Cricetulus griseus: one gene and its partners. The protein of the gene in region 1 interacts with the protein of each later gene in a pairwise test. Links are inferred from orthologs where the notes say so. Each region holds a gene or a part of one and is shown on either strand. Other genes may lie near its edges. The genes, in order: Nif3l1, Natd1, Cdkn2c, Rabac1 and Dmc1.

Region 1 (4,099 bases):
TTAAAACATGGCTGAGAGTTGGTGGGCCTTTAATCCCAACACTAGGGAGGCAGAGGCAGGCGGATCTCTGTGAGTTCGAGGCCAGCCTGGTCTCGAAAAACCAAAAACAAAAACAAAAAAATTAAAACATGTAATAGGGTGCAGACATGGCTTGCAGTAAGGAGCACTTGCTGCTTTTACAAGAGGACCTGTCCGGTTCCCAGAACCCACACCTGCTAGTGGCTCCAGCTCCAGGGAATCCGACGGGGTTAAAAACAAGCCAACAACCACCCAGTTAGAAGAATTCTACAATACTTACCATCCTCCCTCTTGATGGTTCCAGGAAGCCTTGCAGAGAAAAACTGAAGATGAGTTTTTAATCCTAAAAGAGGAATTAGTTCATTTTAACCCTATCTTTCCCAGCACACTTGTTCATCTTTATGGTAGATTTACAAAGAAAAGCTTATAACATCCTCTAAATAAAAATCCTACCATAGAAGTGTTGAGATCCTACCCAACGCAACAAGCACCCCTCTCTCCCAACACTCTACTTATTTTTCTCATCTTTCTTCAAGGCTCTTTCTGTAGGCTAGACATATTCCCACCTTCCTGTCTATTGGTCGAGCTAGGCACTGGCGCACCCTTTACCCAGACGTCTGTACAATAAATTTCACTCTTCACAGTCTTTTTCTAACCCCAGGTCTTACTAACCTGACAATCGTATTTAAAAGCGCCTTTCCCATATGCTCTATGTGCTTTCCCCGTGGTAGTGGTCACTAGCAACATACATTCTTCAATCTAAAGTCCCAGAAAGACCATCTGCAGCCCAAGAGTTCATCACGAGTAACCCCAAGAAACAAAACGGGCCAACGTGGGGTGCAGCAGGCATCGAGTGCACGCACAAAAGGAGAAATGCCGTTACCCCACACTTGCCCACTTCGCTGTCACCGCCGCTGCGGAAACAGAAAAGACTCAACCTCAGGTCCCCGCATGTCTGCGGGTTCCAAATGAGTGTTTTTGCCCCACCGGAGCAGAGCGCGGGGCCCTTCGCAGAGAACATCTGCTTCCCGTCAGTCTCCCCTCTCAGCACCTCACCTCTCGGCCCCCCACCTAACAGCGAGAAGGTTCTCCAGACAGTCACACTAAGAAACAACCTGCTGCTGTCCGTGCAACTTCATGCAGGTCTCTGGAGTCGGAAGCAAAACGCACAGGACCACTTCCGCCCAACTTCATTCCTACATTGCTGGTAGCTTCAGGGCAGAGCGGAAGTGACGCACAGAAGAGTTTCTGGGACCGGTGAGTAGTGGGCGAGTGAGAGGCTCGCGGGGTTATCTGTTCCTCTCGCTGAAGTTGCACTTCAGGGAGGCCTGTAGCGATTACAGGGTGCCACGGGGGATGAGAACACGGGAGATGGGGGCGGGACACTCCCTTGCTGCAGCAGGGGCGAGGGTCCTGACTCAAGGACTACAGCTGTGCCACATGGCCCTTGCTTGTTCTGGAAAAGACCTTGAACCAGCTCTTTTACTCACATGCTTTATGCCTCAAAGTGCAGAACTGAACTCTACATAAATGCCATTTCCTGTGTTTTGACTCCAGACACGGTTTTACCTGGTTTCTGTATGCTGTCATCTGCACACCTGCTACCTACAAGTGTCCGACTGGCCCCGTCCTGGATCTGCCGGTCTTCTCGTTCCTTCATGGATCTGAAGGCTCTGCTTTCCTCCTTGAATGACTTTGCATCGCTCTCATTTGCTGAGAGTTGGGACAATGTGGGATTACTGGTGGAACCAAGCCCTCCCCATACTGTAAATACACTCTTCCTGACCAACGACTTGACTGAGGAGGTCATGGAGGAGGCTCTGCAAAAGAAGGCAGATCTCATTCTCTCCTACCATCCACCAATTTTCCGGGCCATGAAGCACATAACTTGGAAAACCTGGAAGGAGCGCCTGGTGATCCGGGCACTGGAGAACAGGGTCGCCATCTACTCTCCCCATACGGCCTATGATGCTGCACCCCAGGGAGTCAACAACTGGCTGGCCAAAGGGCTTGGTGAGAAATCTCGTGTCCTTCAATATTTAGTGATAGCTCTACAAATACTTTGAAGTTTTAAAATGTCTTCTTATTATTCATTTTTTTTCTAGGGGAAATGGGTTTTTCTATTTTTATATAGTACTAAAAATAATGTGTTGCTTAGATTTGATAATTGAGTTTCCTTTAAAAATGTATTTATTTTTCTATCTGTTGAGTGTTTTTGCTTGCTTGTATGTAAGTGCCCCACATGTGTGCGGTGGGTTCTGGATCCTCTAGAGTTGGAGTTACAGTCAGTTGATGAAGGGCTCCAGCAGGCTCCAGCATGGCAAACATGGTGCCAACAGGTTTTGCTTTTTACCCCTCTCCCACTTGCTAATCTGTTCTATTACATTCCTAAAGCTAGCCCCTGAAGTCCACTCCCTTATTTGGCCACTGACTCATTCCAGAGACAAAACACCGAGGTCCAACAACCAAAATTCATTATTTGGCTAACATGTTCAATCAGGATCTACCAACTCCCCCAAGCACAGACTCCCCCTTTTTCTCCTTAAAACCCACTCCTACAAAAAAAAAAAAAAAAAAAAAAACACCTGTTTTCTTGCTTGCTTGTGCTTGCTCTTGCTCTTGGCCTTGCTCTTGCTGCTTTTTGCTTTTGCAGCACCCACCCCGCCACCTCCAACCCTCCTTTGTGCTGAGAATTTGGTGTATAGTTATGTCCTGTTCTGACTCTAGCAGGGCCAGCCTTCTCCCTACAGCTGTGAATTGCTATGTGGATGTTGGAATATCAAACACAGGCAGGTCCTCTGCATGAGCAAGGACTGCTCTCCACTACTGAATCAGCTCGATAAATAAATGAACTATTTATTGAGGCTGAAGAATTGGCTCAGCAGTTAAGAAAACGTTTTTGTTGCTCTCACAGAGGACCTGGGTTCCCAGCACCCACATGGAGGCTCACAACCATAGGTTAACTTCAGTCCTAGGAGAACTGATGCCCTCTTCTGGCCTCTGTGGACACACACACATGATGTTTACACATAACACAGGCAAAACACTCAGGCACATAAAATAATGAAATAAATAAATCTAAACAAACTCTTTAAAAAAAGAAAGAAAAATGAAACAATGTAAATTAGGCTTGGTGTAGTATAAGCCTGTACTCCAAAATCTTATACTTTAAGAGTCCAGGAAGCTGAGTCAGGAGAGCATGAGTTTAAGGCCAGCCTGAGCTATACAGTCAGACAATGGCTACATTGAATATCATCCCACCAAAACCAAACAAAGCCGGGCGTTGGTGATGCGTGCCTTTAATGCCAGCACTTGGGAGGCAGAGGCAGGCGGATCTCTGTGAATTTGAGACTTGCCTGGTCTACAAGAGCTAGTTCCAGGACAGCCTCCAAAGCCACAGAGAAAGCCTGTTTTTGTTTTACTAATGGGTCTCCTGTTGCTCAGGCTGGCCTTGAACTCTATGTAAAGTATTGTCCTAATCAGGTTTCTATTGCCCTGATAAACACCAAAAGCACCTTGAGAAGGAAAGGGTTTGTTTCATCTTCCATCTAACAGTCCATCATGAAGGTAAACCAGGGCAGGAACCTGCAGACAGGAACTGAAGTAGAAGCCATAGAGGAACACTGCTTATTGGCTTGATTATGGAATGGCTTTGTTGTGCCCAAGTCTCAAAGATCCCCAAAGACCACCAGGGAGACAGACCCACTGAACGCTTATGGCTGGATTAGCCTACTCAGGGTCCTGGGTTTTCCCACATCAGCCCTTAATCAAGAAATGCTCCACATACTTACCAAGTGGCACTCTGACTGAGGCGTTTTTTTCATTTGAGGCTTCCTTTTCCCAGCTGACCTTGACTTGTGACAGGCTGACAAAAGCTAGCCAGCACCAGGGGGATGAGCAAACAGAGCATGAGTCTTCATTGCTAGGTGGCTTCATGATTGTTCAGATGACACGGTGTCAGTACCCCGGGCACTCTGAGCTGTGTGAATCAAAACTCAACCTTCGGGAGATGCCTTCTAGGTTAGTTACAGAGACACCAAGGTTTCTGTCTGGTTTCTTGTTTATTTTTATTTATTTATCT
Region 2 (3,968 bases), on another chromosome or scaffold:
GTGATGAACATGGTAGCAGCAACATCATGGCTGATCACAAGTGATGCCTAGAAACTAAGCACTAAACTAGGGGGTGGAAGCACATGCCTTTAATCCCAGCACTCAGGAGGGAGAGACAGGTGGATCTCTTAGTTCAAGGCCAGCCTGGTCTACAGAGTAATTTCCGGGACAGCCAGGTCTACACAGAGAAATCTAGTCTCAAAAGAAAAAAAGAAAAGAAAGGAAAGAAACTAGATACGAAATGTTGTGTAGTTCCATTTTATAGGATGTTCTTAGGAAAAGCTGACAAGTCAATAGTGCTAAAGTCAGGGAGCAGCAAGGCACCAATTGGTAGGGGATCCATGAAGATCTCCATTTGGCTGTTAAGTGCTCCCTGGCCCCACCACCACCACCCACACAGTTTGTATTGGCTTGAACTCACAACCTTCAAGCACTCTCCCACTGAGGTATACCCAAGCTTTCTGTATGTCCATCTGTGTGGTGGTCTCAGAGATGTAGACATCAACTTTGCACCTTAATAGAAGGTGATTCTGTGAACATCTATGGCAGGCTTTCCAAATACTATTTGTTTGAAGAGTAGTTCCAAATATTATAGCTTCTAGGGAGACACTGGTTCCTGGATAGCTAGCTCCCCAGGGACCTCGCCTCGCATTTCTGCTTTTTTTGGGGGAAAGGTGTCTTTTTCACCCAGTCCCAAACATGCCTGGGGGTAAATCTCTCAAATCTCTCAACAGCAGCTTCAACTACCCCGGGTGGATGGACTACACAGCGCCAGTCCCCGCAGGGTTCCAGCTGAGATTAGATTGCCTTTTGATGTCCAGCCACAGTAAAATAGGCTATCTATGCCTCAAGCTTGCCAATGCCCAATATTCGATGGCTGTCTTTGGGAGAATCAGAATTGCCCCACAGGTCGTTATGTGTTTTTTCAGATAGATCCGTGTGGGTCCCAGAGATGCATCTGGGCCAAATGCCAGGACAATCGACACCCTTGAGGGACCAACACATCATTTGTTGAGGCAGCGACAGAAACGCGCCACGCGGCCTCTTTAAGAGACGCCAGGAATGTATCCAAACAGACCGTGCGCACGGCGCACGTGACTCACAGCTGATTTCCGGCCCCGCCCCCTTCTCCGGCCCGCGCCGCCCGAGAGTCAGTTCGCTGCGGCCCGCGGTCCCCAGCTTCGGCGCGCGCGATGGCGCACGCAGCCCCGCCGAGCGCGCTGGAGCAGAGCGGCCCCATCCGCGTGGAACACGACCGCCAACGTCGCCAGTTCTCCGTGCGCCTCAACGGTACCGCGCTGCCTTTGTTTGCGCGCGCGCGGGCGGGACGGGGCGGGACCTGGCGGACGGATCCCGGGGCGGGAGGGCTCCAGAACCCCGACAGGCATCGCCGGAGCGCGCCCGCCCGGGCAGCCCGCACCTGCTAGCGCTGCCGGCTTCCGGCGCCGCGGACGGAGGGCTGCCACTCTGCATCCCAGAGAGCAGGTCGCTGATGACCTGCCCCCCCCCGACCCCCCACCCCCGGTGTTTGGTTGCTTCCTGCCGTCCTGGAAGAGCCTGCGCGGGCCTGGGGCATAACCCAGGGAATTTGTGGCCTGGAGGAGGAGGCGGGTAGGCGACTCTGAGATTTTAGCCAACTTCTCCAGTCGATGTGTGCCTCGGCCTCCCGGAATCTGACTTGGGGCTGTAGTGAAGACTGCTTTAGCTGACAGTGAGGATGAGATACTGTGGCAGTAAAGGTTCAGAATGACACATTCGGTGCACAGCAAGTGCTGATAAACATAGGTAAATGGCTACTTTTCAAACCAGAGAGCTAGGTCAAGGCCTCATCTTCTGTAGCGTTTGTACCAGCAGACCGACACTCCTCCCATTGATCCCGGGGGCTGGAAATGATTGTGAAATATGGGACCTTGAGTTCTTTGTAGCCCACCCCTCCCAGCTGGGCCCCCAGGGCATGTCCGTGACCAGACTTAGAGGCCACTGCGCCAGTTTTGAAGGGACATACTTGGGTGAGGTCAGCCAGTAAGTTGTACAGCTGTGAAGGTAATGAGCAGCCTATGCTGACTTCCTGAGCCAGCCTTCTGTGACCTGCACTTGGTCACAAGCAGAAGAGGCCTGGTCTCCTGTTTGTGCCACCCAACTACAGGGGAGGCAGCTGTCACTTCCTGTGTTGTGACATACCACCCCACATCACACATGAGTAAACTGAGGCTGGGGCTCAGGAAGTGACTTGTCCTGTCATATTCAAATCTGAGCCCAGCCGCCCCTTTGCCATGCCCATGCCCTTTCCATAGAGAAACAAGTCCTGTTGTGACACTTGGCCCTAGTCACTTGAGAGGCCTTATCTGAGGTTTTTCAGAACCTCTTATCTGAAGTAGTTCCAGGGAGGCTATGATTCTCCAGGTGACTCCGGAGGCCCATTAGATCCACAAAGAGAAAGGTGGAGAACTCTTGGGTTCCCCCTCCCCCTTTCTCTTCCAGGTGGGTCCAGTCAAAAGAATAGCACTCCATGCTGACTGTGAGCAGACTATAGCTTTAAACTTAACCCTTCTGGAACCTGCTGCTCTGTCACTTAACACAAATGGTGCCCTAGGGAGACAGGGTGGCTAGAGGCAGGCAGCCCCTCCTCTGCTCCTCCTGCACAGCCTGTACAACTAGGATTCATTCCACTAGTATTAACTGAGTACCTACTGTTTACCAACGTTCTTCAAGATGTCCAGGACTTGTGGGGCTGACAGTCTAGAGGGGGAGATGGGCCTCAAATAAATTACATAGTATCTTGTAGAACAAAAGCCCTTGGGAGAAGTGACACTGGGCAGAAGGAAGGATACATTGGGGCAGAGCTGCCCTTTAGCATCAGATTCCAAGAAGTTGGCTTTTTTTGATTGATTGGTTTTGGTTTTGGTTTTTTTTTTGTTGTTTTTTTGTTTTGTTTTGTTTTGTTTTGTTTTGTTTTTGAGACAGGGTTCCTCTGTGTTGTTTTAGAGTCTGTCCTGGAAGCTCAGTAGACCAGGCTGGCCTTGAACTCACAGAGATCCGCCTGCCTCTGCCCCTGAGTGCTGGGATTAAAGGCGTGTGTCACCAACACCCGGCCAAGTAAAGACCTGAATAAGGCAAGAAGGCACTGAAGAGGGCACCATGAGAAAGACACAATTGAGAGGGAAGGCCCGACAGTACCCATTGTGTATTCAGAGCAGCCAGGAGCAGTGCGTGGATAGAGGAGCATGGGCAGTTAGGGAGAGACTGAGAGCTCACAGGGGAAGAATAGTATAGGACCTGGGAATGTTACCTTTGACCCTGAGCACTGTGGGTTCCTGAAAATGCCCTGGGAAGAGGACAGATGACATGGACCAGGAACCCTAAGGCTGGAATGGTGGGGAACATACTGTGGGGAGCTGGCAACTACACTGGTCCAAGCAGTGTGAGCAGGGGTGGGAAGAAATGTCCTAAGTCCTGAGCTGATATGACAGGAAACATGGAGAGAGCTTGTTGGTATGGAATGTGAGAGGAGACTAGAATTCAAATATATATGACCCCCAAATTGAAGTTCTCAAATGCTGGATGTGTGGCCACTGTTTTCATAGGTGGGAGACCAGGGCACAGGGCTGGTGAACAGCAGCTAGTCCAGACCCTGAAGTTGCTTTCTGAGGGTTGTCATCTAAAGATTGGAAGAAGTCAGATAAAACCCCTGCCTCCAGCCCCTTCCTTGCCTTCTCTTTCTTACCTCAGCCAGGGCCAGCCACTCAGGTTTGTGTATGTGTTTTAAATATTTGTTTTTAGTGTGTGTGTGTGTGTGTGTGTGTGTGTGTGTGTGTGTGTGTGTGTGCCTGCCGCGTGCGTGTGTGCGTGTGACATGTATTCCAGTGCCTGGAGAGGTTAAAAGAGGACATCAGATGCTGCAGCTGGAGTTACAGGCAGGTGTGAGCTGCCAGACATGAGTGCTAGGAACTGAGGGTCCTCTGTAAAAG
Region 3 (4,006 bases), about 370 Mb from region 1:
GCAGGCCCGTCCGGGCGGCACCGATCCCGCTTCGGCAGGGGCGGCCCGCAGGGAGGGCGGCCAGGAACTCCGCGGCCGCCGGGCTGACCCAGGCCCAGCGCGGGCCGAGAAGAGCGCGGGGCCGCGAGGGCGGAGCGAGCGCGCCGCCGGCCAGTGCGCCGCCAGGCGGAGGGCGGGGCGTGGGCGGCGCCCGGCCTTCCCGCTCCCGCGGCGCGCTAACTCGGCGGAGCCTCCTTAAAACTCTGCCGTTAAAATGGGGGCGGGTTTTTCAACTCAAAAAGCGCTCAATTTTTTTCTTTTCAAAAAAAGCTGATGAGGTCGGAAAAAAAGGGATAAGAAACCGGCACCGTCTCTGCAGAGGCAACCGAAGCAGCAGTTGCTTCAGCGGAAAAAGAAGCAAAGGAGGGAAGGAAGGGAAAGATCCTAAAGGGGAAAGACGCGCAAGTGCCTGTGGCCGTGAAGAGAGCCGCGATCAGAGATTTTGGGGAATCGGACTACAAAAGAAACTGTCAGCTGCGGCTCGCGAGGGTCCGGCGCTGCCTGGCTCGGCTCGGGGACCCAGCTGGCTGGCAGCCGCTGCCCTGTCCCCGCGGTACAGACTTAGGGGCACAGGCCGGAGGACCGCGGACAACTGGCCAAGTGGCAACAGGCGCCCGAGCTGCTGGGCGGACGCCAACAAATCGGCGGGACTGACTGCGCCCGGGAACTGTGGAGACCGCCCGTACTTCCAAGGACCCTTCCCATCACCGGAGGCCCCCGGAAAATCGGAAAGGAGGGAAAGACCGTTGCAGAGGCGACAGCCGCCCCTCAGTGAGAGCTTGCAGTGCAGAGCCTGAGCTAGCTCGGTCGTGGGCGGGAAGTTACTGGAGAGCTGGCCCGGTGCAGCCGCGATGCTACGGCGAGCTGCCTCAGCGACCGGAGCCCGGTAGACGCGTCCTTCGCCGCCCTCCTCCTTTCTCAGGCTGCCGGGAGTCCCGGGACCCGGCGGGACCGGCATGACGGGCTTGGCGGGGGTCTGCCGCGCGCCCACCAGCCTCCGGAGACCTGCGCCCTGCCCGGCTCCCACGGCCTCTGAGGCTCGGCGGGGCTGCGGCTGCGGGCTCCGGGGGCTCTTCTGAAGACGCCGAGCCCACTGGGGAGTCGTTGAGACCCGAGAGTTGAGGGCCACGGAACTGCTGCTCCCGTCTGCCTTGGGCGATCATCTTTAACCCCCCACAGCACGTCAGCATCCAGCCACCGCGGCGCTCTCCTAGCGAGCAGCACTTGGGACTACCCCCTTCGGCGAGACGGATGGAAAGCGAGCCCTACGGAGGACTTGTCCCTGAAGTTCTGCCTCAAGTCACCATTGTAAACAAGGGTGGGTTAATGCCTTTTCTCCTCTCCAATACTTTTTCTTCCGCAGTGTTTTCTGAGCTGACCTAGTCTCTTACGTCTCCGCACATCCTCCTCACAGAACTGTGAAGTTTAGGTACGTGACAGCTCTGCCTGCATCTCACGTCCAGAGTAATTAATCAAGAATGCCTGTGTGTCTGTATGTGTCTGTTGAATCGCCAGAATCCTTCTTAGGGGTTAAGCTAAAAAGCTAGGAGAAGAGCCCCTCTCCAATGGGCTCAGTTTTGCTGAATAATCACGTGTGAATCAAGGGGCGGGCTTTTGGCAGGCCGACCTTACTAGTATTTACTACCAAGCTCTACTCTAGATTAACCATCCCAGTCCTTCTGTCAGCCTCCGATGCCATCATGCAGCCTGATTAGGAGCAAAGGAAAGGGGGAAAGGAGAAGCAACTAATCGTCTTTTCCCGATCGTCAGGACCCTAAAGAATGGCCGAGCCTTGGGGGAACGAGTTGGCGTCCGCAGCTGCCAGGGGGGACCTAGAGCAACTTACTAGTTTGTTGCAAAATAATGTAAACGTCAACGCTCAAAATGGATTTGGGAGAACTGCGCTGCAGGTTGGTATCCACAGAGGTGGGGAAAGCGAGTCAATAAGGTTGCTTGGGCTTCTAAAATGACAGTTTTTAAGTTTTGAGGGGTACAAATCGTCACGGTTTTAAAACCTACTTGGTTGCCATATTTTATATCTTTAAGTGGATCCAACTCCCCAAAATGACGTACTTTGAAGAAACTCGTCAAATCCAGTAACATCCTCGGTATAAAGAGAATCCTAGGTTTGGTCATATTTTTTGGAATGTTTTTGTGACAGTGAAGATTTTAAAGTAGTCTTAGCGTCGAAATCTGTTTGTTTTGTGCTGTGTTGTTTTAGATAGCTCTTTAAGCACATTATTATGATTATTATTTGAAGTAAATACACAGTTAATAGTGGTTTTCACCTATTTTGTTCCCAATAATTGACTTTAAGGTTAATTTCCCTGACTACTAGGAAGGGTGTTTTTCCTTAAGCTGTTTCATGTCTTAACAAACGACCTTTCCTCGTTTGGAATGGGATAGCCTGGGCACCAGGACAGGATGTATATTCCACAGTTACTATACTACCTAACCCACCCATTCAGGATTGAGGAGAAATAAAAAGTTGAATTTTCTAATCAGAGCTAAGCAGTAATGTTTTTATTTTCCCCGTGGTCATGCGGTGGTATGCTCTATTTTTCAGTAATTAGATTTACAGGCAACAAATGACACATGTCCAGCTGCCAAGTATGTACCTGATAATATTTTTTTCTCCTCCAAATGTTATCATGTAATTTTGCTGGAAGGCTTAGAAACAAACAAACAAAAAAATAGAAAAGTGATCTCTATACACTAGTTGCTTTTATTGGTGTTCAGATGGTACTCCTGGGAGCTTTTCCTATCCATGAGCAGCTTTTGAAAACCCACTGGGATAAGGGCATTAGAGAGCTCTGTTTCTGTTTTTAAAATTAGAAATTTAAGTGACAGGATGCCACAGTAGAAGCTCACACGGCCTGTATATTTTAAATCAGAGTATAACTGGCCTTGCAAAATTTTCACTATTGAGGTGGCTCATGCAGAGATACTAAAATATTTATCCTGATTCAGGTAGATTAAATAAGGAAAGGTTTTGCTTTTGTTTTACCATCTAACACTTTTGTACTGGTTTGGTGATGATAGATAGCAATGCCTTAAAAAGGTTTTCTATTGAAAAGACAAAAGATAGGTCAGTTTCACAAAGTCTAAGCCACTTCATTCATGTTCAGAAAAAGATAGTACAGAATCTTTTACAAACAAGACAATTGGGTAATTAAGATAATTGGATTTTGACAAACATTTTTTTAAAAACTAGCCACTTTTGTTTTTATATTAACAAACTTAGATAATACCCACTTATAGCTTAATATCAGTACATATAATGAAGCATACACACACAAATAGGAGTCTTTTTCAGTATGCATAATCCTGATTCTGAAATTGTGTCATCAGAAAGAACTTTCTTCAAAATCATTTGCAATATTACTATTACTTTCTGCCAAAGATGGCAGATTTTAATCTGTGATTATGTTTCCTACTCAACTGCAGAAGCCTTTTTTTTCTTTGCTGTTGTTTTCAAGGAGAATAATAAAAGACCTTCATGGTATATTTGCTTTACAAAGTTCTAAGGTGTCTATTTCATGTTTAGCTCACTTTAACTCTTTAAATGTGACTAAGGTTCTAGAGAGATGTGGCAAAAATTAAAATTAGACTGTACTAATTTTTAATAACCAGAAAATATATTCCATGGAGGCTCTGGAAAAGTAAATTTTGGGTCATTTTTCTACTGTTCTAAATGAAGGGGTGACAGGGTTTATTAAAGTGAAAACTTAGTATCATGAGAAAGTGAGTAATTTGCACTTAAAATATTATTCATTCTAAATATATTTTAATAATTTGTTATTCTTTTAAAAACATCTTAAAGATATTCATATTTTCAAATGTGTTACTTTTGACTAATAAATATTTAGTGTCTAGTAAGTAGCTCACTTATATTATTACATAACTTATTTTATAAATATACCTAAATATACATGAAACCAGTTCAAATGCTGGAATTTTGTGGCAT
Region 4 (4,229 bases), on another chromosome or scaffold:
AAATAAAGTTAAATAATTAAAAAAATAGTTAAGCACCCTGACTGCTCTTCCAGCACCCATATGGCAGCTCACAACTGTCAGCAACTCCAGTTCCAGGAGACCCAACACTCTCACACGGACGTGTATGCAGGCAGAAGACCAATGTACATAAAATAAAAACAAATCATTTTTAAAAACCAGGTGGTAGTGTCACACACCTTTAACCCAAGCACTAGAGACAGGTGAATCGCTGAGAGTTTGAGACCAGCCTGGTCTACAGAGCGAGTACCAAGGGCTATGTAGAAAGACCCTGTCTGGAAAAAGTAAATAAATAAAACAGATGTTTTAAATGAAAATAAAAAAGAGGGTTTGGAGAGATGACTCAGTAGTTAAGAGTGTGCGTGCTGCTTTTCCAGAGGACTAGAGTTCAGTTCCCAGCCCATGTATTTTGAACAGCTCACAATTGGTGGTAACTTCAGTTCCAGGGGGGGGATGTAATACCCTCTTCTGGGCCTCCTCAGGCACCGTCACCCATGTGGCACACACACATAAACCATTTATTTTTAATTCTTTTTGGTTTTTGGAGACAAGGTTTCTGTGTAGCTTTTGGAGGCTGTCCTGGCACTTGCTCTGTAGACCAGGCTGGCCTCGAACTCACAGAGATCCTCCTGCCTCTGCCTCCCGAGTGCTGGGATTAAAGGCTTGAGTCACCAATGCCCGGCAGAAGCCATTTTTTAGAAAAGATATTTTAAAAGTTATGTGTATCTGTGTAAGTACACGTGAGTATGTTTGATTGACTAGAGCTGGATATATACATATATAATATTTTTAAAAATTTATTTATTATACAGTGTTCTGCCTTCATGTATGCTATATGCCAAAAGAGGGCACCAAATCACATTTGTAGATGGTTGTGAGCCACCATGTGGGTTGCTGGGAATTGAACTCAGGACACCTGGAAGTGGAAGAGCAGCCGGTTCTCACACATCTGAGCCATCTCTCCAGCCCCTATAATTTTTGTTTTGTTTTGTTTTCTAAGGAAAGAGAAAGTTAATGAACTCCACCCCAGACCAGCCCAATCAGAATCAGAATATCTGAGGCTGCGGCCAATGTTTTTATTATTATTATTAATTATTTATTATTATTATTATTATTATTATTATTATTATTATTATTATTATTATTATTATTATTATTATTATGCCGTCTGGAGTCAGGATGATAGCTCCGCACCCTCCACGGAATCCCGCAGCTGCCATGCCAACTCCCGGTAAAAACGCCCCATCCTAAGAGCCCACGCTGCACGCTCTGAAACTACAGTTCCCACAATGCCTAGAGGCCCACGCGGCGCTCTTGGCATACTTCTCCCGAGGTGTCTTGCGAGCCCGACCGACCTCCTGACGCCGCAATGACTACAACTCCCAGAATGCTCGGAGACGCAACTACCGCCCCCTAGAGTGCCAAGCGGCGCCATGTCCTGAGCGTCCGGGCTCGGGCGGGGGCCGGCTGGGTGCGGCGGGGCTCGAGGCTGTCCGCGGCGATCCCACACACCGCAGCGTAGACATGGCGGCCCAGAAGGACCAGCAGAAGGATACGGAGGTGGAGGGGCTGAGCGCCACGTGAGCGAGCAGGGTGTAACCCCCCATACTCCCGAGCGTGGGGTCCCAGGCGTCCCGGCCCCCGGGCTTTGCAGAGGAGATGTCCCCCGGGGGCCGCGATGTGCTGGGATCTGGGGTCCGGGCCCTGGGACCGCTTGCGGCTGACCTGCCCCCGCCCCGCCCCGCCCTCCAGGACCCTGCTGCCCAAGCTGATTCCCTCCGGCGCCGGCCGAGAGTGGCTGGAGCGGCGCCGCGCGACCATCCGGCCCTGGGGCGCTTTCGTGGATCAGCAGCGTTTCTCGCGACCCCGCAACCTGGGCGAGCTTTGCCAGCGCCTGGTACGCAACGTGGAGTATTACCAAAGCAACTACGTGTTCGTGTTTCTGGGCCTCATCCTTTACTGCGTGTGAGTGCCTCGGCAGCCCCGCCCTCCTGCGCCAGGCCCCGCCCCCTGTTGCCAGGCCCCGCCCCCCGCCGGTTAGCTAGGCCCAGGGCCTTGTCACCCGAGCACCCAGGAGTCGGTCTGTATTCCTGAATCCACCCGAGCCGGGATGCAGTCTAGCCACCCCATGTGATGCCCAAGGCTAGAGGGAGCCGGCTCACACAGCCTCAGACGCCTGACTCCTGTCTCCCACACTCTTCCAGGGTGACATCCCCCATGCTGCTGGTGGCTCTGGCTGTCTTCTTTGGCGCCTGTTACATTCTCTATCTGCGCACGTTGCAGTCCAAGCTTGTGCTCTTTGGTGAGAAACCCCCCGCCCAAACGGATCCCCAGGTCCCACAGAACTGCAGACCTCCGAATATTTGGGAATCAAGTCGGTCCCACCGAGAGGTGCACTAGAGTCATTAAACTTAGTCCTTAAGGTCGCAGGTGAATACCCTCCAGTCTCAGCTCCCCAAAACCCAGGGAGAGCCCTAAAACCCCGGCTCCTGTGTCTCCTGTAAAATGAATCAGTCCTTCCCAATCCTCCCCGGGGAGAGCATCCGCTGCAGGTACCCACACTGGACACCAGGTGGCGACCGTGTGCAGGCCTAGGTCTGTCTGCCTTCCCATGCCTTCTGTCCCAGGGCTGAACTGGTAAGATACTAGATATTTCCAGAAGGGGAAACGGAGACCTGTCCGCCCACTGGGAAGAGAAGTGTCAGGGAAGACCCACTGAGAGGAAATCCCAGGTTTGCCAAGGAGACCTGTGACAGTCTTTCAGGTCCCAGACAGGTTACCAGAGGAAGATGGACTAGGGCCGAGCGAGAAGAGCCTGAAGCACAAGAGAACTTGGCCTTGGCAGATAGTAGTCACTAGGGCATACACAATTTCCAGACATAGGAGAGCCTGAAAAAAATTGTTTTGAGATAGGGTCTTCTTACGTAGCCTCGGCCTGCCAGGAGCTCACTCTGTAGACCAGACTGGCCTCCAACTCACAGATTTCCCCTGCCTCTGCCTCCTGAGTGCTGGGATTAAAGGAGTATGCAACCATGCCCTAGCCTTACAAAATTTGTTAAGCACCCAGAAGGCAGGCCCTCTGGGAAAGCAGCAAGTGCTCCTAACTGCTGGGCCGTCTCTCCAGTCCCCACAAACCAGATTCTTGTGAAACACTTCAAAGACAGACAGACGTTCTGGCTCATGCCTGTAATCCCAGCATTTGGGAGGCTGAAACAGGATGATTGCTGTAAATTCAAAACAAGCCTGGGCTTCAGAGTCTTTTAAAAAATCAAAATGAGCCAGGCATTGGTGGCGCACTCTTTTAATCCCAGCACTCGGGAGGCAGAGGCAGGCGATCTCTGTGAGTTCGAGACCAGCCTGGTCTACAGAGCGAGTGCCAGGATAGGCTCCAAAGCCACAGAGAAACCCTGTCTCGAAAAACAAACAAACAAACAAACAAAAATCAAAATGAGAGCTGGGCATGGTGGCACACACCTTTAATCCCAGCATTCGGGGTGAGGCTGGTGGATCTCTGTGAGTTCAAGGTCATCCTGGTCTACAAATCGAGTTCCAGAACAGCCAGTGCTATACAGAGAAACCCTGTCTCAAGTTTTTAAAAAACAAAAAATCAAAATAATGGTTTGGAGAGATGGCTCAGTGGTTAAAATTGAATTCTGTTCTTGAAAGGACCCAGGTTTTGTTCTCAGAACCCAATCCCCATGTCAGGTGACTGTCACAAGGCCACCTGTCACTCCAGCTTCTGGCCTCCATGGGCACCTGAACTCTTGTGCACATATGGCCACACAGGGTACATACACGTAATTCAAAGTAATAAATAAAATTATATAAGTTAAAAATAAGAAGACAAAAACCCTTAGGTCATGGACTGGAGAGATGGCTCCGGGGTTAAGAGCACTGACTGTTCTTCCAGAGGTCCTGAGTTCAATTCCCAGCAACCACATGTTGGCTCACAACCATCTGTAATGGGATCTGATGCCCTTTTCTGGCACGCACTGTATACATGATAAATAAATAAATCTTTAAAAAAAAAAAAAAACCCTCTTAGGTCAGACCTGGCAATGGGGCCACAAGGTTGAGAGTCCTGGTATCCAGGCTGGGACATGAGGCTAGCCTGGTCTGAGAGACAAGTGGCTTGGGAGGTCCTGGGGAGGGGGGGATAGAGAGCAGAGCTGGGGCTGAGGAAGGTGGTTTCATTCTGGTTATGTTTGGGG
Region 5 (3,422 bases), about 36 Mb from region 1:
CCCATTTCATCTCAGAACTATTCTTCATGAGCCCTGCTAATTTGGAGTTGGATGATCAGAATGATAGACATGTCCTGTTCAACCAAAGTGGGAAAATCTCTTTCAGTTCCTCCTTGTTCCTAGTATCTACCCTCCCTCATTCTCCCAAGAAAAGAGGAAAAGAGAGAAGAAAATGTAAAAGACTATAAGAAGCACGTGGGAGGCTTTCTGATGCTGTTAACTTGGTCAGAAATAGATGTAAATTAAAGCCCTCTGAAGGAATGCGGGGTGCTATGCCACCTTCTTGTATGTCACCTCAAGACTGTGAATGCTGCAGTAGTCAGGAAGTACAGACACTGAGAAAAATTTCTTGGATTATGTTTTGTTGAAAAATGATTATTTAAATTGAACTGTTTAGTTAAATAATAAGCAATTTATTGAGGATATCTTATATGATAAGTTTGCTGTCAGGGTAGAGCTAATGTGTCACAATGATCAGCCATGGTTCCTAGTACACAGTGGCTCCCAATGAGTTATTCTTAGTATCTTGAGTCCTTGCAATAGTCCTAAAAGTTCAGGAGTTCACCTTTCCCCCTCATTTTACTATGAAAGAAACTGGGTAAAGTAAGTAGGTAGTAAATGTTTGAGTCAATAATAGGAAAACAGATAAATAATAGCTGTAGTCTCTAGGCTAACACTTTGCCTGAATTATTTCATCTTATTCTTACAGTTGTCCTACAAGTTGGTACCATTATTATTTACCATGAAAAGTCAGAAACAGAATGGTTAAACAGTTTTCCTGAGGTCACAGAGCTGACAAGCAGACTTTGAACTCAAGTCTAATTCAAAAGCTCATAAACCATACAACACATCAGACCTGTGCCTGCCAGAGGGAAAACTAGCATGTTTTCAGGGATACACTCATTATTATAGTGAAATGACCACTGTTCATGGCCCTCAGCCTTTAAGCATAGGTGTGATTGGATTAGAGAATTCTTCTCTCAGGGGGAACATAAAGCTAGCTTATAAGACTCAGCAAAAAGACAAAGGACTAGTCTGATAAAGAAAATGTAACTACATTCAAAGTTCATGTGACCAGTGAGTGAAATCTCCCTAAATATAGACCTCTAGCAGAATCCAATTTTTAATCCAAATTGTTAATAACTATTAAATCTGGCTTCGGATCTCAGCACACACTTCATGTGGTTCACAACTGCATGTAACTCCAGCTGCAGGGAATCTGACACCGCTTGCCTACATGGACAACTGCACCCATGTGCACATACCCACATACACGTAACTTCAAAACAATTAAATAAACTTCTGGGTTTTTTTTAAAGATTTATTTATTTATTATGTGTACAGTGTTCGGCACCAAATCTCATTACAGATGGTTGTGAGCCAACATGTGGTTGCTGGGAATTGAACTCAGGACCTTTGGAAGAGCAGGCAGTGCTCTTAACTGCTGAGCCATCTCTCTAGCCCCAAACTTCTGTTTTTTGAAGAAATTTTCACTTTGAAAATATATGCACCTAATAGAAGCATTGCCTTGGTTTAAAGTAAAATCACCTTGTTTTGCAACATTGCAAATGATTAATTTAGACAAGATTTATTGACTGGTGCTAAAATAAATGGTGAAAGCTTATTGTAAAACATGATGTTACATTCATAAATTACTGAATTTCCAAGAGGTATTTTTTGTGTCTTTTCTAATGAAGAACTCTCACAAACACCATCTATTTATTTTGTCTAATTGGCTGGGCTTTTTGTTTGTTTTGTTTTTGTTTTCAGACAGGGTCTCACTATGTAGACCTTGAATTTATAGATCTACTTGGCTCCTCCTCCTGAGTGCTAGGATTAAAGGTGAGCATCATCACACCTGGCTCAAGAATACTATCTTAGCCAGTGGTGTTGGTGTACACCTTTGATCCCAGCACTAGGGAGGCAGAGGCAGGAGGATCTCTGTGAGTTCGAGACCAGCCTGGTCTACAAGAGCTAATTCCAGGACAGCCTCAAAAGCCACAGAGAAACCCTGCCTTAGAAATGGGAATGTTAGTTCCCAGGTATCTCTCAAGATGAATACCAATAGTATTTGTAACTTCTTTTCTGTCATAATATGATTTTTGAATCACCATGACTAGACATAGATAAGAGCTTACCTTTTTGTGTGTGTGTAATTATTCTTGTATGTATGCATTGATGTTGCACATGTATGTGCAGGCCAGAGATTGACATCAGGTGTCTTCCTCTGTTGCTTTCTACCTCAGTTTTGGGACACGGTCACTAACTGAACCTGGAGCTTGCCAATTCAGCTATACTGGTCAACCAGCAAACTCTAGGAACCCTCCACCTCTTCAGCACTAAGAGTATGGGCACATACCACTGCACCCAGCTTTTAAGACCTTACTCCTTAAATATCCATATTTATAGAAATAAACTTTGGGCAACAACAAAAATATTTCAAGATTGTTTTCACTGCACATTCGTAACTTGTACAACATTGAAGGAATCCACCATAAAACTTATGAACAAGAAAGGCTCTCTCGAATGGGAATGTAGCTCAATAGTAAAATACTTGCCTGGTATGTGTGAGGCCCTGAGTTCCATCCACAGCATCACAGAGGAAGAGGGGAGGGAGAGTTCACAATTTACTTTTTTACAAAGCCTCAAGGAGAAAGTTTATCAGTTTATTTACTTACCTACTTAGAGATAAGGTTTCACCATGTAGCCCAGGCTTGCCTTGAACTTTCAGTCCTCCTGCCTTAGTCTTTCATCTACCTAGCTTAGATAATTCTTATTCATCAGACTAAAATAGTGCCTGGTACATGGAGGTACTATTTTAGTACCTCCGAGAGAGGTGGATCTCTGTGAATTTGAGGCCAGCCTGGTCTCTAGAGTGAGTTCCAGGACAGCCAGGGCTACACAAAGAAACACCATCTCAAAGCCACCACCACCACTACCCCCAAAAAATAAAAACAAATAAGTATTTCTGATAAAAGAGTTAGTGAATAAATCAATCCAGTATTTGTAGTTTATAAGGAGTTTTTTTCCAAGACAAAAAAGGCACACCTGAGGTTGACCTCTGAAATGCTTACATACACACAAAGAATACACACCTATTTCCTCCCTGCCATTCCACTCACAGAGGCTGCTGCTTCCTTGGAAATATCACTATATATCCAAATGAAGTCTGAAGAAATGTTTTATTGATTCAGTTTCCAGGCAGATCCCAAGAAACCCATTGGTGGACACATTCTGGCTCATGCTTCAACAACAAGAATAAGCTTGCGGAAGGGAAGAGGAGAATTGAGGATTGCCAAGATTTATGACAGGTATATACTTCTTTATTCTTCTTCAGATCCTGTTCACATGCCTTTAAACAGAATTGCTAGCCCTGAGAGACTATCCATTGAATTAACAAATGAACTTTTTGTTTGTTTGTT

What was found.
Region 2: the proteins of Nif3l1 (region 1) and Natd1 interact in binary tests that used the Homo sapiens proteins (3 or more experiments, as listed by UniProt). The two-hybrid records come from large-scale screens. The link is inferred for Cricetulus griseus from reciprocal best matches to the Homo sapiens genes NIF3L1 and NATD1.
Region 3: the proteins of Nif3l1 (region 1) and Cdkn2c interact in binary tests that used the Homo sapiens proteins (3 or more experiments, as listed by UniProt). The two-hybrid records come from large-scale screens. The link is inferred for Cricetulus griseus from reciprocal best matches to the Homo sapiens genes NIF3L1 and CDKN2C.
Region 4: the proteins of Nif3l1 (region 1) and Rabac1 interact in binary tests that used the Homo sapiens proteins (3 or more experiments, as listed by UniProt). The two-hybrid records come from large-scale screens. The link is inferred for Cricetulus griseus from reciprocal best matches to the Homo sapiens genes NIF3L1 and RABAC1.
Region 5: the proteins of Nif3l1 (region 1) and Dmc1 interact in binary tests that used the Homo sapiens proteins (3 or more experiments, as listed by UniProt). The two-hybrid records come from large-scale screens. The link is inferred for Cricetulus griseus from reciprocal best matches to the Homo sapiens genes NIF3L1 and DMC1.

What each region holds. Positions count from the first base shown.
Region 1 is NC_048595.1:412,833,965-412,838,063, forward strand, and holds the start of Nif3l1 (NIF3-like protein 1), read left to right. Parts: upstream 1-1,290; 5' UTR 1,291-1,508; coding exon 1,509-2,031; intron 2,032-4,099. Other genes in the region: Ppil3 (peptidyl-prolyl cis-trans isomerase-like 3), read right to left, coding at 299-327, 1,134-1,212. UniProt on the Homo sapiens protein: May function as a transcriptional corepressor through its interaction with COPS2, negatively regulating the expression of genes involved in neuronal differentiation.
Region 2 is NC_048600.1:74,899,573-74,903,540, reverse strand, and holds the start of Natd1 (protein NATD1), read left to right. Parts: upstream 1-1,158; 5' UTR 1,159-1,193; coding exon 1,194-1,290; intron 1,291-3,968.
Region 3 is NC_048595.1:40,159,795-40,163,800, forward strand, and holds the start of Cdkn2c (cyclin-dependent kinase 4 inhibitor C), read left to right. Parts: upstream 1-1,197; 5' UTR 1,198-1,468; intron 1,469-1,480; exon of another isoform or gene 1,481-1,809; 5' UTR 1,810-1,820; coding exon 1,821-1,949; intron 1,950-4,006. UniProt on the Homo sapiens protein: Interacts strongly with CDK6, weakly with CDK4. Inhibits cell growth and proliferation with a correlated dependence on endogenous retinoblastoma protein RB.
Region 4 is NC_048602.1:9,714,290-9,718,518, reverse strand, and holds the start of Rabac1 (prenylated Rab acceptor protein 1), read left to right. Parts: upstream 1-1,424; 5' UTR 1,425-1,542; coding exon 1,543-1,598; intron 1,599-1,770; coding exon 1,771-1,983; intron 1,984-2,222; coding exon 2,223-2,320; intron 2,321-4,229. UniProt on the Homo sapiens protein: General Rab protein regulator required for vesicle formation from the Golgi complex. May control vesicle docking and fusion by mediating the action of Rab GTPases to the SNARE complexes.
Region 5 is NC_048595.1:376,733,200-376,736,621, reverse strand, and holds part of Dmc1 (meiotic recombination protein DMC1/LIM15 homolog), read left to right. Parts: intron 1-3,194; coding exon 3,195-3,311; intron 3,312-3,422. UniProt on the Homo sapiens protein: Participates in meiotic recombination, specifically in homologous strand assimilation, which is required for the resolution of meiotic double-strand breaks.